Linked DNA regions of Astyanax mexicanus. The protein of the gene in region 2 binds, or shares a complex with, the protein of the main gene of each other region. Links are inferred from orthologs where the notes say so. Each region holds a gene or a part of one and is shown on either strand. Other genes may lie near its edges.

What was found.
Region 1: lsm8 (region 2) and lsm6 share a complex: the UniProt entries of both Homo sapiens proteins name them as parts of the precatalytic spliceosome. The link is inferred for Astyanax mexicanus from reciprocal best matches to the Homo sapiens genes LSM8 and LSM6.

Annotation. Positions count from the first base shown.
Region 1 is NC_064414.1:49,786,518-49,796,363, reverse strand, and holds the start of lsm6 (U6 snRNA-associated Sm-like protein LSm6), read right to left. Parts: upstream 4,803-9,846; 5' UTR 4,684-4,802; intron 2,665-4,683; 5' UTR 2,660-2,664; coding exon 2,566-2,659; intron 1,518-2,565; coding exon 1,404-1,517; intron 1-1,403. UniProt on the Homo sapiens protein: Plays a role in pre-mRNA splicing as component of the U4/U6-U5 tri-snRNP complex that is involved in spliceosome assembly, and as component of the precatalytic spliceosome (spliceosome B complex).
Region 2 is NC_064409.1:6,668,290-6,678,589, forward strand, and holds lsm8 (LSM8 homolog, U6 small nuclear RNA associated), read left to right. Parts: upstream 1-5,500; 5' UTR 5,501-5,613; coding exon 5,614-5,644; intron 5,645-7,205; coding exon 7,206-7,246; intron 7,247-8,154; coding exon 8,155-8,282; intron 8,283-9,773; coding exon 9,774-9,864; 3' UTR 9,865-10,115; downstream 10,116-10,300. Other genes in the region: si:ch73-139j3.4 (CD82 antigen), read right to left, coding at 510-625, 864-942, 1,911-1,976. UniProt on the Homo sapiens protein: Plays a role in pre-mRNA splicing as component of the U4/U6-U5 tri-snRNP complex that is involved in spliceosome assembly, and as component of the precatalytic spliceosome (spliceosome B complex).

The DNA.
Region 1 (9,846 bases), on a different chromosome or scaffold from region 2:
TAGGAACAGCAATGGTGTTCCCAGGTCTATTTGACCCAGTGCATATTTAATTATCCAGTTAATATCCAAAATAATAATTATAAAAAAAATCCTAACAAGCAGTGTCAATATTTTATTACTAAATACACTGCTAATTAATCTATCAATATGTAGTGCAATTGTGTTCCTTACCGCAAACACATACTGGTTCAATCAGGATAATCACTCGTTTTTCCAAAAAAAAAAAAGATGGCACATTTTGTTTTGTGTTATGTTTAACTACTTTACCACTTTTGAAAGACCAACATAAGACATAATAGATTTACATACCATAAAAAAATAACATTGCAATTTTGTTTTAGTTTTTGTTTATTGCAGGGGGTTATATGTTGATTACAGTAAGTAAGGCATGCAGAAGACGTTTTATACTGGAAAAATACATTTATCTTTTTTTCCTAGATCTTCAAACTTTTAAACTGGTCAATTTGACCCGTAACATAACAGAAGGGTTAACCAATACATTTCTTTTTCATGCCGTCAAGGCAACTTTTCATGACCATACAGCTTAAAAAAATCAATAAATGGACAATAAAACTAAAAATCAACTAAAACTAAAACTAATTATAGTAGGCCTAAAATGAATGATAAAACATGTTGAAACACAATCTTCAACAATAAAATGTATGTCAGATCCTGAGAGCTCCATTGTGTAGGGCTAAATTACTGAACTAACTAACTAGTGCTGATGTATTTTGTTAGCTCAAAATAGATTTTCTTCGTCAATAATCTAAAAAACACAAAGATTTGTAGACCAAATTTCCATGACTTTTCCAACATTTTCTTTTCATATTTGTATTTTTCCAAACTTGATCTAGGCCTGGAAATTGCTATTTTCAAATTCCATGACTTTTCCAGGTTTTTCAAGGCCATACGAACCATTATAGGTATACTATAGGAACAAACATATTGGGACACCTTCTCATTCGTTGTTTCTACTTAAATCAAGGTCTATCTAAAAAAGGCTTTCTACTACTTTTTAAAGCAATCTTGTCTGTGAGAATTTGACTGCATTCAGCAATAAGAGCATTAGGATGGTCAGGATGATGATCAGATAATGATCACCACCACAATTCCTAAGTATACTGACTACGTATCATCCAACCCTACATACTCCCTAACTCTGCAACTCTGTTCAAAAGTATTGTATTAAGTACCATCATTACAGAGAACACAGTTCCACAGCTCAATGCTGGGGGCTTTATTCCCCTCTAGCTCATTCCTGGCATTCTGACTTGGGCAAATAGGTTCTATACGTCTTGCAGTACCTCTGGACTGTACATGCTGCTTGTTCACATTAATCAACAGGTGTAAGGTGTCCCTTGCACAGTTAAGCTACATGTTTGTTTGTTGTTTATGCTACCTACCATTGTTTCCCCTCAGAAACGCATCTCCATACTTGTTCTTCAGCTGGCCATTCACATACTCCTCTGTCTGCTCCACAGCAATGTTCATGTAGCCATCAAGACAAGCGAGGACACCTGCAGAACATCCATAAGGTAAGTTTTAAAGAGGCACCAAACCTCCTGATTTTAGCTGACAGCACCCTCAGCTCAAATTTAAAAAAGGCTAAAAACAAAAATGGGAAGAGTAGTTTGGGAGGGACACTGGGTGATGTATGGGTTTAGAGGTGGGGCAGAAGGGAGAGCTGATTGGCTGAGATGCAGCAGTGTGTCTCTGATAGCAGTGAGATGCAGATGGTTGGATGTCAGCAGGAGGGTATTGTATTACTGATTGACTGATCTGCATGTTGTGAGTGTTTTCGTACCAAAGTACACAGAAACATCATCCTCCCTATTAGTGTGAAAAAGTATGTTTTTTCACAAGTTTTATTGGCTCTTTAAGGCTGGACACTCCTGCTTCTGCACAGGTAATAACAGCTTAAGTGTAGGATCAGTAAAATAATTCCCTTTATTCAAGCTTGTTTTGTAAAAAAATATATATATAAAAATGATCAAATCATAATTTCGAAGCAGCTGTGCAATTTATTTAAAGGTTGTACATGGGTGTTGTGGAGTTCAGTCTTGTGTAAATTGTGGTATTGAAATATCATAATTAAAGGAGAAGCATCATTACTTTATTTCAACCATTATAATCCAGTGCAGTTTACTAAGCCAGTGAAATACCTACTTAGTTATAAATAAATACTGACGGTTTAACACTTTCTGTAACACTACTCTAAGGGTTTCAGTACATTATATATTGTATATTACCATTTCTGTAAAACATATTAAAATACAAGTTTTTAGTCATATTGTCTAACTCTTATGTGTGGGAAACATAAATAAGATCAGTTTAAAAAACAAAAGTAATGTGAGGTTGTCACCAAGACAAGATAAGGATTTTGTCTCCCTCCAATAACAAAATACAACACTTCAGCAATTTATTTAGACTACCAGTGTAAAATATATAAATCTTGAGAAAGCCCATATAATGGAAGAAAAATACATAACAGATGCAGCTTCAGCACACAGCAAATTACAGCAGGAGTTCATTTTCAGCTACTCAAAGCAGCAGTGGTGCTTTTACCTCTGTAATCCACTCCAGAGTTCAGTTTCACCACCACTGGCCTTCCAATGATCTGCTTCAGGAAGTCACTGGGGGTCTGCTTCCGGAGGCTCATTTTGACTAACAGGGAGTGAAAAAGAAAAAAAAGAGAGTGAATTATAAATGAAGAATGAATAATAATGAGCTGACGAGCTGCAAGTCTGCATTTCAATCTCACACTAATCACATGTTTAATATTTCTGATGTTGCAGTAATTCATGCGAACTCATTTTTTATACCCACACAAAAGTATCTGTACCTTGTTAATCCTTTTTTTTTCTTTTCAGCTTGAACACAATGCTCATCTTTACACTGTTAGACTTATTAAAAAACAACTATTATAAACTATTAAAGAGCATTTCCTAATAGACACACAAAATGGTTGTACAGATTAAGTGGTTACTGTATCAAATCCATGCTAGGCTGTTGCCACGTGATTGCCATGTTATTCCAGGTGGTTTCTATGATATTTCTAGCTAGTTACTGTGGTATCCAAAGTAGTTGTTAAGGTGTTGTTATGAGGTTTCACCTGACTGCAAGTATACAGTGAAGTGAAATGACAATAAAGCAACATAGGACTCTCAATGAAATACATAAAGTGCAATGTGCAAACATAAACCTAGAACATAAGACTAGAAAGAAATAGCAATATACATGAAATATACATATCAGTTAGACAGTTAACAGATGGGACAGTGCAGTGCTGGCACAGAGAGTGTGGTGAGGATAAGTTAAAGAGACAGCTATGCAACTTATACAGCATGTAGGTACATGCATCTGCTTATAACTTACAGTGAAATAAATAATTATTTGATTCCTTGCTGATTCCCCACTGACAAAAGACATCTACAATTTTAAGTGTAGGTTCATTTTAACAATAAAATATATAAAACATAAAATCCAGAAAAATCACATTGTATAAATGATATACATTGATATGCATTTTACAGATACCATTTTTATTATTTATTATTTCTTTCACTGTGAAAGATAGAATTAGAATCATAGGCTGTTCATGTCTTTGTCAGTAAGCAAACCTACAAAAACAGCAAGGGATCAAATAATTATTTGCCTCACTGTATATAAACAGTAGTTTGAGATACACAGTACTAGTTGTAGAATTAGAGCTGGGCAATAGATCAATATTTTATCATATCTTGACACTTTCTTATTGAATAAACAAGATGCTTTAATAAGCATACTGAGTACACCATCAATATTTGACGATTATTAATGTACTTAAAATCAGCTTGATTGTTGGTTCATTTACTGATTTTGGACTTGATATATCACAGTGGACAAACACCAGCAGATGACCATCAGTAAAGTTTACATTTTATTAGGAAAATCAAGGAAGTCTGGAGGAAGAGTGGAGAGACACACAGTGCATGCTGCTTGAGGTCTAGTGTGAAGTTTCCACCAATCAGTGATGATTTGGAGAGACATCATGTCATCTGCTGGTGTTTCTCGGAAAATCTTACAGCCATTCATGCTTGCCTTTGCTGACAACATTTATGGAGATGCAGATTTCATTTTCCAGCAGGACTTGGCACACTGCCCACACTGCCAAAAATAAGTCTTATATAATATTCTAATTTTCTGAGATATTGATTTTTGGGTTTTCATTGGCTGTAAGTCATAATCAACAACAGTAACACTTATATAATATATGAGTTTCTCATTCTGAACTGAATTAACTTACTGAAATAAAGTAAAATTGTTTTTTGAGATTCACTAGTATAGTAACGTTACTGTGTTTAGCTAAAACTGTATAACAAAATACTGTATAAATACTGTAAAAAAAACTCGGGCAGTTCTGTCTGCTAAAACCACGTAAATCTCACATATCTACAGTAAAAGGTTCAATTTGTGCAGTTAGGCTAGATTATCTAGTTTAGTTAAACCAGTGAATTCTACAGTATTATCTAGCAGTTAGCCACGTTAGCCTAGCCTAGCTACACATCTAACTGCCTCCAAACCCGCATAATAAACAAACCTCCGCTATAAACCCGCACTATTACTGTAACTACAGCGATTTATTCTTATAAACTGCGGGTTTATATCCCGCACTGAATCCATAACCCGCCGGATTATACTCACCTTATTTTAGCGCAGGTTAGCTTAGCTGCTGCTTCAACAACGTTCTCTGCACGTCCCGGTGTTGATGGCGCTCCACCAATCAGCAGCCGAGCTTAGTACAGAACTACGGGTGCCGCTGAGGGACAGTTCGCCTTCACGACAAAGGGCTTTTATATTATATTATATTATATTATATTATATTATATTATATTATATTATATTATATTATATTATATTATATTATATTATATTATATTATATTATATTATATTATATTATATTATATTATATTATATTATATTATATTATATTATATTATATTATATTATATTATATTATATTATTAAAATAAAAATATGTAATGTTTCACTTTTTACAGATGAAAAATATGTAAAAAAAAAAAAAAGAAAAAATAAACAATAAATTAATTAAAAATGCAAAACTGGAGATACAAGTATTTGATTTGCAGGACATCAAAATTGTAATATTATACAATTATAATACAGTTATAATAAGTCGTAATATTGTTATATTTTAAAAAAATCTGATTCAGTAAAAAATAATAAAATCAATTAATTAATTAAAATAATACAAAATACTACTGAATATTGAACAAGATGAACTGCAGTCCCTTGATAATTGTGAGTTTCACATTAGTGATAGTTACAAACAACCTCCCACCATGAATTGTTCATGTTCATATCAAATCAAATCAAATTTATTTGTATAGCGCTGGTGTTGGCACAAAGCAGCTTTACAGAAATGTGATCAAAGGACAAAGAATCAGGCAAAACATTAAACATAGAAAATACAGAACACAGGACCCCCAGTGAGCGCGGAGGCAAGGAAAAACTCCCTCAGAGCTGCAGGAGGAGGAAGAAACCTTGGGAGGACCAAGACTCACATTTAAGGGGTGACCATCCTACCACTGGTCAAACGGCTTTTAAATTAAAATATAAAAAGTCTTTATACATCCACATAGGTTTTATATATTCTGGAGTATATGTAAGGATGTAATCTGTAGTGGAGAGTAAGATTGATGATGAGCAGCTGATCTGTGGTGGGTGATGGAGAAGAGCTGACTTCAGAAATTTCCATCAGTCTGGCCGGACAGGGGACATGAGAGCCCGAGGGTCCAACATCCATCGGTATTGGGTCAGACAGGTGGGCAGTCAGTAACTCGGAGGAAGGCAGAGAGATGGAATTAGTTTTACTGGATTTATGTAAAACAGAAAATATAAAACATAAAACTCAGATCTGAATAAACTAACTAAAGGGAGAGAGCCAGAAGGTAACATAGACACGGAGCCTCCCTGAAACATCAGCATCCACCCACTCCACCGTCCACAAACCTGAGTGACCGTGTGCAGTGGGAGAACAACAGCACCAGCATCTCAGTTTACCCACAATTCCCTCTGTCCATGAACCCCTGAATCTGCAGCCTTATCTAAAAGGAGAAACATTAATTACCAAAAGCTAAATAAACAAGTAAGTTTTCAATCTAGACTTCATATTTAATAGTTTTTACATTTAACTTTTTTACATATTTCCATGTAAAAATAAAGATTTATGCTGCAGTTGATTTGAACCAAGTAAGAAATTGCAAATACCAGACAGCAAAATATTGACATTAAATCAATATTATTTATTTATTCAATATAACTGTATTGATCTCTGATATCAAAATGAATTTATTTGTGCATGTTGATTCAACATTAATTTAGTATTATTGTTTTATAATAATGGTTTGTATTACATTTTACTTACATTATATATGCATATCTTGTTTGTGTTCTATTAGTATAGTCTATATAATGTGGTCTTGCAGTGTAGAAAAGGACATTTAAATAATAATTATTAATAATCTTATTATTAATAGAGTATAAGAGATCAACCTTTTAAAACCTTTAAATTAATGTTGATTTAATTACAGAATTTGAACACTAACCAATGCCTATCAAAGTTAACATACATAACATACTACACAGTGCAGTATCATCATTCCATCCAGAGATGCAATCTTCTCATTTTCAGTTTCAGAGCATCAGTATGGTTCTGAAGCTACTCTTTAAGGGTAAAATTGCTACATAATATTGCTTTCAACAGTTCAACCTTTTTGTCAATACTATATTGAACTGCTTGTGCTTAGAGTTTACAAAAGAAACTGTTACAAGTTAGGACTGTACAAATGTAATGGTGATCAGTACACTGCAAAAAAATAAAAATGAAGCCAGAATCTTCCGCCGTTTTGGCGATTCAGAGACCAGAGTCTGCGCAGTAGAGACCAGAGTAGGGAGAAAGGCTGTTGAGAGCTCCTACTCATTTAAATAACCCCGCCCCTGAGGGCTGCCTCGCGGTCACAGACTGCAGAGCGGGGCGGAGCGGAGCTGACGGTCTGTTATTGGTCCCGCCCATAACCAGCCCTTTTACCATAACCACACCTTTTTTGAATAGAGCCGAATAAAGTTTCAAAAACCGAATTCTGTGGGGATATAAAAAATTGACAATATAAGCAGAGGCTACACTAGCTGCTGCATTTAAATAATGGAGGTAGAATTAGAGTATATTAGAAAAAAAACGTGATTGAAAGTTGTCTGCTTTGCCATTGAAACCTATGGGGATGGGTGGGGTTACACAGCTTTCTGCAGCCGAACAGCAGGGGGCGCCCGACCTGTGGTGGCTTCACTTTTAAGAGACGATGCTCTGTCCAGCTATATACAGTCTATGATATTTACAATTATGGCATTTAGCTGATGCTCTTATCCAGAGCGACTTACAAGCTTGTTCCTATTACAGAGGTGGGCCAATGTAGTGTTAGGAGTCTAGCCCAGGGACTCTTATTGGTGTAGCACAGCATTCAGTCACCCAGGCAGATAGTGGTGTTATCCACTGCGCCACACCAACCATACTTGTCTTTCTCTTGTAAGTCGTGTAAGATTCTTTGGCTTATTTTAGGACTTATGATCATAATCAGTCTTACTTAGAATTTAAACTGAAAATAAGCCAAAACTGACATTTTGTGAGTGCTTATTTTAGGAACTCTTACTAAGAAAAATTTGTTTACCACTTTGGCTGTTTCTTTGCTTAATTTAAACATATACAACTCTTATTTAACTATATTTTCCAATTCATTTTTTTTTTGCAATGTTTTATCCAATGTTATTCAGCAGCCCCTTAAGCATTGTTGGTCAAGCTCACACTTGCATTGATTATTATGGTATTATGGTATTATCATCTCTTTTTCTTCTACCGCTCTGTCCTAAGAACTTGTCGGAGTGAAGGCTGAGTTAAGAGGAGCCGTGGAAGGGAGGATGGATGTAGGTGGAGGATAAACAGTGAGGAGAGAGAGCAGGGCTGGAGAGCAGTGTGCGCTGCTGCTTTCAGGCAGAGCGAGGCAGGAACCTGAGAGGCAGAATCATAAAGCACGTCTGGCGCATCCAGACAGTTTGCTTGTTAGCGGGGCATGGCGAGCCCTGCGGAGGCTAGAGGTTAATTTGGTATCTGGCGCCGTGTTAAACTAAGGTCAGCGCTACAAGTCCTTAAGTCATAAACAAGTGTGGTTAAGAACCGCGTACACACCTAGGCACAGGTTAATGAATATTCAATGAACGTTTTTTTTTTTTCCTCTCTCTTTCTTTCTTCCCCTCGTCGCTTCCCTCGGTCCGTGTCCGGAAGGGGCTTGGAGGAAGGGAAGCCATTCGGAGGCTTTAACGCCTGCCCTTAATCAAAGCGATTGTTGTGTGTTATATACCGGCTGCTTTCTGAAGGTCCAGCAGGAGAAAAACAGCAGGATTGATAATAATGGAGGGGTAGTACGAGCTACTGTCATGATGTTGTGAGGTTGTGAGCTGAGCGATACAAATACACACACACACATACACACACACACACATACATACATGCACACACACACAAAGAGTGCCCACACACACATACACGCTTGTACACACTCGTACACACTCGTACACATACACGATATTGACCTTCCTGGTGTACTGCAGCTCATTCTTGACTTTACTGGACAGGAGCCAAGAGCCAGGCTTGTTAAGTGATACTGAATGAAAACACAATGGAGCCGTGGAGACACAACTTGGGTTTCACGAGCTTTTTCCTCTACGCCATTGTGCCAGTTGCCTGGAGAGGCGATGAGAATGTTTCCCGCAGCCTCTGTGCGCAGGAGAAGAAGACGTTTTAACCTTATTGACCTGTCCTTCTGGATCGGCGCTGCTCTGCGGCACCACGTTTTCTCTTTCATGATGAAATGAATAAAGCGATTGGTGGCTCTGCGGCTTTCTCGCGCCGCCGGGTGTGGGTGGGCCTCATGCAAATACAAAACTGATTTGCGAAAGACAAAAGGCGGCGCAGACCGTTCGAGCGCGCTGCGAGCGGGCGACCCTTGGACGAGTGCCCTGAGCCTTGACCGATGCGAAAGCTGTAACTCAACAGTAATAGCCGCCCGGAGAGGGCAGATGGGACTGTTTTTCGGGGCCTGGCTCGGAGATACCGGGGGGTGCTCAGATGGACAGTGGCACAGTTGATTTGCTGGTACAACCTGCTTCACCTTTCCAAGCCCCTGAAGACCTGAGAGGGAGGGGAGGCGAAATGAAAAGATTACAGTGGGAGCTATGGCAGGGTTAGAGAGGAGGAGCGTAGAGAGTGTAGGAGCTGCTGAGGAGCGGGGGAAAAAAAAAACACAAAAAAAAAGAAAACAGGGGGCGGGGGTAACCCTTGCCTGCCGCAGGCACATTCGCTGGGAAGAAGAAGAAGACGGAAGGGAGGCAGGCATGGAGAGATGGACGGATGGCGGGGAGAGTCTAGACTGAGCTGACCTTCGCGGGCGAGGGCTTTCTCTCCGGGGTCAGCCTGGATATGGAGGGAGGGGGGGTATAATGGAAAAACCTCGAGGGAGTTTTCAAATGAAAACCAGATTGGCTGCCGGCGTGTACTTTCTCTCCTTTCTCTCCCGCCCCCACCCTCCCCCCATCCGCCCTCTCCCTAATCCCCGCACTGGATGGAGGTAATAGCTTAGAAATGATGGTGGATGGAGGCGGGGGGGGGGGGGGGGGGCGTCGCCTTGATCAAAAAAATGAACAGCGCAGCCTCGCTCGCCTCAACTAACACCCAGATCCAGCAAGGCCTAGCCTATAACCGAGCGAAGATAGCTCGCGCGGTTATGGACTGCAG
Region 2 (10,300 bases):
TCAATTTGAAAAATCTTAGTTTACACAACACTGTCAAAGATAAAGATAGTAAGTCAAGTAAAATGGTGTGTAAATGAAATAATCAGGAAAATGTATTATTTAAAGTGGTATATTTCATTATTTGTTTTATTACAGAGTGTGGCCCGTAACTTCAAATATATTTCTCCTTCTGGCCCCCAACAAAAAAGTTTGGACACCCCTGCCTTAATACATACTAAACGTACAATTTTTATTATATTGTACATATACAACTTTGCATATTGATTGATGCACATATTGTGTTGACCTTAATGCTACTGGAAAAAAATACACTAAAGTGCGCTTTAAATTTTAATTTTAATTTAATGCCACTACATATATATTTTCTGTCAACACAACATTGAATTTAAAGCATTTTGCCTAAAAATACATTTAATGGAAATATAAAGAAAGTATATTTAATGCGTATTTTCATTGAGTATATTAAAGTTATTCAAGTATATTAAAATTCCTTTCACCACCATACTTACAACTGCAATGAAACATCTATTTTCTAGATAGACCCCGACACAGCCCAGCATGGAGACCCCCACGATCACCAGGCCGATGACAAACAGCCCTCCAGCCACCACCTCGATTTCATCCTCTGTGAGATTAGTGACCACACACAAACATGATGATGTGAACCAGCATGCAGTTGTTCATACCAACACAGCCTTACTCACACACAAAGTGACTTTTCCAAACCCGGCCAATAGCGATCAGCTTACACTCCCTCAGGCTCTCATTCACTCACTTATTCTTGAGCATGAGAAAACCCAGTACTAACACTACCACATTCCAGCCTCCTTATTACCAAACAGGACTAAATAAACAAGGCTTACCCGTGCTTAAAACAGTTATGAAGTTGTTTTTGTCAAATATGATCCATATAGAACATCCAAAAAGGCTGAGGCCGAGAATCTGTAAAGAGTGTTGACGTCTGTTAGGTGTGCAGAAGGTAGGTAAAATGTACTGTATTTATGGCACTTAGATGTAGTGTAATGAGCTGGAAGAACCATAAAAGTTATATCAGCTTAATATCTGCTTTATTATTTATATTCTTACAGAAACATATTGAATCATTTCATTTCATAAAACATTGTTCTATATTTCTTTATTTTTATTATCTATTTATTTAAGCCATAAATCATTTTAAGCAAGATTACAGCAACGTTAATCTACAGCAATCTCATGTTAGATTTACCACTTTTCTTTGAATTTCTTTGATTTTACCAAATTGAAAACCTCTGGAATATAATCAAGAGGAAGATAGATGATCACAAGCCATCAGGAGTGGCATAACATTTTCAAAAAGCAGTGTGTAAGACTGGTGGAGGGAATATGAACTTGCTTTCTTTACATTAATTGAGGTCTAAAAGCTCTGCATCTTTTTTTTATTTCATCCATTTCTCATTTTCTGCAAATAAATGCTCTAAATGACAATATTTTCATTTGAAAAAAAGCTAATAGAAACACACAGAGTTTCACATATATCTCACTTTAAATCTTAATACAAATGCATTTCACATACAGTATCACAATATACTGTATTTTGAGCATATTATTAAATCTAAATTAAATAGAAAAGGCTAATAGAAACAAATTGAGTTCAAATCCCAGCACAAATGTATCTCGCATACAGTATGAGAGTATACTGTATTTTAAGAATCATTTTAACATAAACTAAATAGAAAAAGCTAATAGAAACACAATGAGATAAAGTATATCTCACTATAAATTTCACTATATTTCATTATGTCACTAAATTTATCTCACATACTGCATTTTAATGCATTTTAAATGTCATCTAATAAATATAAATTAATAAATCACACTGGATTCTGAGTGAAAATAAATAAATACAAAATAAATTATATATTCTCTCTTACCACAAACAGGGAATTGACCAGCATTAACAGGAATATCAGTATCTGAAGTTTATCCTCTGCCTTCATGTTGTTAGAGACCAACGACTGGTAACCAAGATCAAACCCAGGCAGTGAAAGTGAGAAACAATGTCTATTTAAATTATTATTCCTTATATTTAAAAGATTATAACGTATTGATTTGTTTACCTGGCTGATTTAGCCCTGGAGTCTGTCCAAGTGAAACTGATTTTTTGAGGGAAAAGTTTATGTTTTCTTAGCTTTCATTCTCCTTATCACGTCTTCACCGGTTTCTGTGGCTTAGTTTACCAGAAGCCCTCCACTACAGCTGAAGACTGAAGTTCACTTCCTGATAACAAAACCAATCATTAACCTCTTACCATCACTCACACTGTGTATGTACCTGTAAGCACAGATTTTAATGACTGTGACCTCAAAATTACATTTCTTATCATTCTTTTTCATAATGAATCATCACTTAATCTTTCTTACACATATTTCTTTTTATTATTTGTCTATTTATTTAAGTAATAAATCGCTTTAAGCAACATTACAGTTATGTTAATGTAAAGGAATCTTATGTTAGATTTCAACAGTACATATATAATTTACTACACAATCATGCACAGTATTACAGTCTTATGCAAAAGGTTTACTACTTCTTGTCAAGTGACCCATTTTGTGGCTTTTCCAAGTGAATAGATCCTCTACAAAGGCAGGAAACTAGAATATAAATAAGGAAAATGTTGGGAAATTAAATGTAACATGTTGGAAAAAATAAAACAAAATAAAATTGTATTTTCCTTAACTATAATATTAAATTAAGTAGATACAGTACTCAAGTTTTAAAATGTAAGAATATGATATGGCACTATGGAGATCATTTTTGTTGCTTTTCAAAAAAAAAACAACAGTTTTTATTATGATATTATGACGAATAAAACAGTATAAACTGCTATCCAAATGCTATTGTTGGGTAATTTACTACAGCACGACTTAAAACTGAAATCAAACATGGATGTAAGAACTTCCAGTCCTAATTAATTATTTTCAAAATCTAAAAGTGTGAAACGACAACCTTGAGTCAACTGTTTCACCATTGTATATGATACATAGCTCTGGGAAAAAAATAAGAGACCACTTAAAAATGGTGAGTTTCTTTGATTTTACCCAATTGAAACCCTAAATAAAATCAAGAGGAAGATGGATGATCACAAACCATCAAATCAAACTGAACTGCTTGAATTTTCACACCAGGAGTATAAAGCATAAAGTTATCCAAAAGCTAGAGGTGGGCGGATCGATCCAAATATCGATAATATCGATACCAACGCTGGTATTGGTATTGAGCAATACTCGTGTAAAAATATCGATATTCAAGCTTTTTTCTCTGCCGCACGCACTGACTGCTTCGCACAAGATTCACCACAGTCTACTCTCTGGTCTCTTGTTGCTGCACATGCGTCACATGGCTCAGCAAAGCCAGCAGGTAGGCTCAGCCTGGCCCCGCCCACTCAGCGCTCTCCTCGAGTCGACACGCCTCTACCTCAGGAGATTAGTGTTGAGTGATATTTTTTTACACTCTGTTTATTTAAGAAAAACTTGCATTTGAATTGCACTGAAAGGAAGACAATTCCTTAGTTTTTATTGTTTTTCCAAATGACAATTCTATTAAAAAAAGAAACAAAGAAACAAAGAACTAGAAAAGATGTCTAGTGAGGGGAGAATTTTTTTATATTTAAACTTTGTTTTGTTACTGTTCCATTGTTTCTAAAAAAAATGTTGATTGTGATACTAAAGTATTTTGTTATCACTTACAATGTTTGGTGAAATTATATCCTAGGTTTTTGGATCATTTGGATCTATAAAGCTTAAATATTAAAAAGTATCGGTATCAGTATCGATATCGGCAATACTGGCCCTGCGTTTACTTGGTATCGGATCGATACCAAAATTCCCGGTATCGCCCACCTCTACCAAAAGCAGTGTGTAAGACTGGTGGAGGAGAACATGATGCCAAGATTCATGAAAACTGTGATCAAAACCAGGGTTATTCCATAAAATATTGATTTGAACCTTTAAAACTTTATAATTATGAACTTGTTTTCTTTGCATTTTTTGAGGTCTGAAAGCTCTGCATTTTTATTCTCATTTTCTGCAAATAAATACTCTAAATCCATAGTTTATAGAATAAAACAACGATGTACCTATAAATAGCAAAATCAGAGAAAGTGATTAAAAAAAAAAAGAACAACCTTCAAGGTCTGGTGTTACTGTGGCATGTAAAAAATAGCTTATTTCAATTATTTTATTCAATATTTATTTCTGCCTACCCACCATTTCCAGCATCTGCTGCACTACACACCTTCAAACTACTTCATATCTGCATTATTCTGATGTACCCACACATGTTGTATATACTGTGTGATGGGTCTGACTCATTGTTGCTGTTTTACTGCTGAGGACAACAATGACTGTATCAACACACCTGGGCATAACTTATTTTATATAGTGTTAAGGTGACCTTATACAGTCTGGGTTCTTTTCAAAGATTTCCTTCTTTCCTCCAGCTTTGAATGAGTTTATCCTGCCATTTGGCCTGGGGTTATGTATTTATGGTTTTCTGCTTTATTTATTTATTTTTTTTCTTATTTCTGTAAATTGTGACACAAAGTTGTACAAGGCACTTTACAAATGATGTGACTTCTGTAGTTAAGTTCCTTATATAATGAGAAAGCACATTGTGTAAGAGGTCGGAATGGTATAATATTGTTTGGAATACCATGCTATAAAATTTGAGGGTTATCATATTTTTGGAAAAAAAATACAGAGTTCAAAATCCAAGCAGAATTTTTTTATACATTTTACGTTTCTTAACATTCCTTCTATTAATTAATCACTTCAACCTTTATTTAAAGCAAAGCTTTTGTTCGACCCAAGAATGTGATGAAACTGGCCCTCATCAGGAACATCCAAGGAAAGGCAAAGCAAGAGTTACCTCTGTTGCACAGTATAAGTTCGTCAGAGTTACAAGCCTCCAGAGTTGCCAGGTTTGTGGTTTTCCAGCCAAATTGGGCTTGTTTAAAAAAACAGTAGCGGGATGAATATTACGATAAATAAGATAAATAGCAATACTGATAATAAATCACTTATAAACAAAATACTAAGTCGTACACTCATTTATTTTGGGCTATAGTTTAGGCTTCTGATTCATTATGTGTTCCTTCATAGTCTAGATGACTTCAGGATTATTTTACTATGTACTAAAAAATAAAAACATTAAACAAGAAGGTAAGTCCAAAGTTTTTTTTTGAGAGGATGAACCCACTACTGAATTTTCTGGGGGTTTACAGCCCTCCATTTATGTTTTTTTTTATATATATATATAGAGGTCAAGAGATCAAATGCACATGCTCTGCATGTTAGTGAGGAAAAGAAATACAATCTTCTGGACTGTAATTACATTTTACACGGTAGTAATTAATTACGGTAAGTAATTCCTTCATATGCTGAATTGATAAAGGTAGAAAGCCCATAGTCCGCAGGCTCAGAGCGCCCCCTACTGTTTACTGCGCTCAGCTCACAGCCGCCGCTCTGTTATCCTTTACTACAGTCTCTTCAGTGATCTTAATCAGCGGCTGCAGACGCGCATGCGCTGTGTATGAAGAAGCAGGAGCTGTGCTGAACTGGAATAAAGCCTGTGGAAATGTCTACCGCTCTGGAGAGTTACATCAACCGTATCCTTTACTGTTCAGACGCGTTACTGTTCTTTATTAGCACAGGAATGCGACGCTAGCTTAGAGGAGCTAGTTTGGCGCAGTCCGCCTCAGCACATCATCTTTATTAGCAAAGCTAAGCTAGCTCTGCTAGCTAGCCTCCTGAACCGCTTGCAGCGCTGTTCAGCACTGGGTTTCGCTAGCTATCCTGCTAATGTTAGTTAGCCTGCTAATCTTAGCTAGCACGCTAATGTTAGGTAGCCGGCGCCTGTTTATAACAAGTATTTGAGACGTACGAGGTTCGCTAGCTATCTAAATATGTGTGTTATATATCAAATATTGCTAATTCTGCATTTTTGTGGCTTCATTCACTTCAATATGTAACGTAGGTTAGCTTAACTTAGCCACGATAGTCCCAGATTATTAGCAGGCTAGTTAGCTAGGCAGTCGAAATAGCAGTTGCGTTATGTGAACGATAGATGGATGATAGATGGGAAAAGAAGTTTAGAGAGACAGATGGGAAGAAAAGGAAAAATAATAATAGAGAGAAAGAAAGAAGGTTGGAGAAAGAGGGAGAGACAGATAGATATATAGATAGATAGATAGATAGATAGATAGATAGATAGATAGATAGTAAAAGGGGAAAAAGGTTAGAGAGAAGCAGTGAAGAAAGAGAAATTTGAAGAAAGACAGTCAGTGAATAGGAGATGAAGTAAAAAAAATGAAAGAATAATAGAGAGAGGGAAAGAGAGAAAGATGGGAAGAATAGAGAAAGAGAGAGTGTCAGTGAAAAAGGGAGATGAGGTAGAAAATGAAAAAACAAATAGGGAAAGAAGTATGGGAAGAATGGAGAAAGGTGTTTGGAGAAAAAAAGAGAGTGAAAGGGAGATGAGGTAGTCAAGGAAAAAATATAGAGAGAGGGAGAGAAAGATGGGAAGAAAAGAGAAAGAAATTTGGAGAAAGAAGAGATTCAGTGAAATTGGCAGATGAGGTAGACAAGAAAACATAAAGAGGGAAAGAAAGAAGTATGGGAAGAATGGAGAAAGAGAAAAAAGCGAGTCAGTGAAAGATGGAGGTGTGGTAGAAAAGGAAAAAAAATAATAGGGAAAGAAAGATATAGAGGAAGAATGGAGAAAGGAGTTTGGAGAAAAAAAGAGTGAAAGAGGGAGATGAGGTAGACAAGGAAAAAATATAGAGAGGGGGAAAGAAAGATGGGAAGAAAGAAGAAAGAAATTTGGAGAAAGAAGAGAGTAAGAGAGTCAGTGAACACCATGTTCTAATGTTTGTGGACACCCTTAACACCCTTACTAATGAATGCATTAAGTTATTTTTAGTTGCACCCATTGCTGACTCATGTCCTAGGGACATCATAGGTTACCTAATGACAGCCATGGGCTAGAGGGGTATAGCATTGGTGATGTGATCATTCAACTTTCTGACCTCAATATCCTTATATTTGCCAGCTGTTATTTTTTTCTGGGTCTTTTGTTCACAGTTTGCAACTTGCTTAAACTTTCTATTTTGTCATAAATATGAATTTGTTAACTGACATCTGTTAAACATCCTTAACTCGTCTTTAAAGGAACTGTGGCCATCATTACATCAGATGGACGAATGATTGTGGTTAGTATCTTTTGACTTTCTTAAGCATGTGTAATATTACTGTACATCAACAAACTAAATAATTACGCGCATGCAGGCATTTATTGTCAAAATCAGTTTCTTCTCATCTCTGTGTAACTTTAATCTCTTTATTCCCTTTAAAATGTGTCACCTGCAGCAGCTTGCACAATTTTCATATAAACAACTGTGTACAACTGTACTATTTTTTTTACACACAAATATATGTTGTCTATTTAAAGAATGATTGATAGTCTCAGACTGAAGTCGTGCAAATCCAGTTTGTTTATCTTTAATGTGACACAGATTAATCTATTTAAAGCTGTGTGGATTCAAGATGTTTTTTAATTTAGATTTCTTCACTTCTTCCCCTTCAGAACTGCCAATAATAACTTATATTTATATACTGATGTACAATATACAGAATTGTTTATGTGCATATATAATATACTTTGAAAAAAATATATGTTTATTCTAATTCTGATATAATTCTCATATCATTGCTCACTCATATTGCTTATTATTTATTAGAAATGTGTCTCTCCTTGACACTAAGAGTTGTTCAAAGTGAATTACGTCATTATGAAGGCTTGTGCTGCTTGTTAGTTATTTGTTGATGTTAATGACTCACAAATTATTACCTCATTTTTGTTGACCTGGAAGTGCACATGCTGGTTGCTTGAAAGTGCTAATTATAGGGACAAAGTCACCTACCCACACAAACATGACCTGTAAAGATCAGGTCTGAGGAAAATCCCAAAACTGAGCCATAAGGCTTGTGACGTAAAGCTGATGTACAGCTTTAAAGAGTTTGCAGATTGCAAGGGTGTGTGGTAGAGGGGTGTGTTAGTAATTTGTCAGTACATCTCTCTTGGACAATGTCAGACTTATTATTCTCCTCTCCTTTTCAGGGAACACTGAAGGGCTTCGACCAGACGATCAACCTAATTCTAGATGAAAGCCATGAGCGTGTATTCAGCTCGTCCCAGGGAGTGGAGCAGGTCGTGCTGGGACTGTACATTGTTAGAGGAGATAATGTGTAAGTCATTTATAATGAAAGAACTCTGCCCCGTGTTTACATAGCTCTAACCCTAAATCTGCAGGTATTATTCTACACCAAAAGGGTAAACAGAGATTTCCAGTAAATCTGTTTATAAAATGGTGATTAGGAAGAGCTATAGCTCAAAGAACATTGGTGTCAGTCATTTTTCTAAAGCTGTAATAAAGGCAGGAGAATAGAGGCTAATAGAGGGTGGGGATGTTTAGACAAAATGAACTAAAGCAGTTGCCGCCGCATTGCTTTGTTCTTCATTTATATCTTCAAAGGTTTGTAGACAACAGTTCATCTAATATCTCCTCTAAAATCACGGGTATAAAAAGGAAAAGGAGGGTGTTCCTTCTTTAATTATCATTACTTTTTCTGAGGTTTTAGACTAGACCACTGGTTCTCAAGCCAATTTCCACAGGCTTTACAGTTTCCACTAATTCCAACACACCTGATACAACTAATGAACTAATTGATGAGCCACTGCTGAAACAAACTGGATGTTTTCAGTAGGAAAACACAAAATAAGAAAAGAAACAAGACCATGGAAATGTCAGCATGGTGCAACTTCCTTCTGTAAATGCAATGTTAATTAGGGCTTTATTGAGCATCAATTTCTTCTCATCTCCCTGTAACCTTAATCCATTGTTGTGGAAAAGGGACAAAATATTTAGTCTAATGGTACCAGTCTGGAACGACCATCACTGCTAAGCCTAATGTATTCATTCTAAAAAATGTCATGCATCTTTATATACTTACTAAATGTAAGCAGCTGATGGAGCAATTGAGACTTCAGAAGGGGAAACTCAGAGCTCAGTAGCTCAGTCACTCGTAGTAAAACCAACAGAAATGGAGGAGTGAAGTTTCTGACTGAGCGCGCTCTCTCTCTCTCGCTCTGACTGAACATAACCTGGAATCGGATTCATTCGTTCTGAAAGAAGACCTCATCACACCCGCCCAGTTTCAAATGATTCTTCCGCATGCTCAGTGCAATTACCTATTCTCACCAGAGAGGGCCCTAAATCCCAAAACTTACGGATACCAGCTTTTAAAAATGTCTCCTTTAGCAGCTTGCACTATTCTCATATGAACATCTGTGTATAACTGTATACAACCTCTTTACAGATAAACATATGTTTTCTGTTTTACAAAATATTTATATACAGTCTTTGATTGGATACATGCCAAACATTCCCCTGAAGTGCCCTTCAGAACTGCTGTAAGGATTTGATTGTGTTCAACCCTAAGAGCTTGCATGAGGCCAAATGTTGTATAGATGTTAAATAACTGATTGTAGATCTCAAACACCACTCCAGCTCATCTTAGAGCTATTCACGTGAGTCCAGATATTCCAGAGAACTTAGTAGTGTACCTTAAAGCTATATTCACTATCTGCTTATTTTAATGCCATTGATTTCTCCTGTTGGTTGACTTTTCCTTCAGCAAGTGAGATTGAGTGCAATAACACTTGTGCATGTGTTACAGGGCCGTGATTGGTGAGATCGATGAGGAAACAGACTCGGCACTGGATCTCGGCAACATAAGGGCAGAACCACTGAACTCTGTAGTGCACTAACTTTCCCCAAAGCACAAAGATGCAGACAGCGTGTAAAAGAAAAGACTCATTCCCTTGAAGATAGAAAATGGAAATATATTCCTGAGTGACTCTTCTTCCTTTCAGCTGAACGTCGCACCCATGGATTACCCCAGTGGAGCAGAAACATTTTCATTTAGCTTTTTTTTTATTTGTAGAGCATAGACTTTAATGCTTAACTTTTTATATGTGTGGAAATGAAAGAAAATAAAATGTGGAAGTCTTTGGTGTAATGCTGTTTTTCTTTCTTTTGTGTAGGAAGTTCAGTTCTGCACATACAGCTCTGGAAAAGAACGAGAGCACTTAAAAATTGAGTTTCTTTGATTTTACCCAATTGAAAACTTCTGAAATATAATCAAGAGGAAGATGGATGATCACAAGCCATCAAACCAAACTGAACTGCTTGGATTGCATAAAG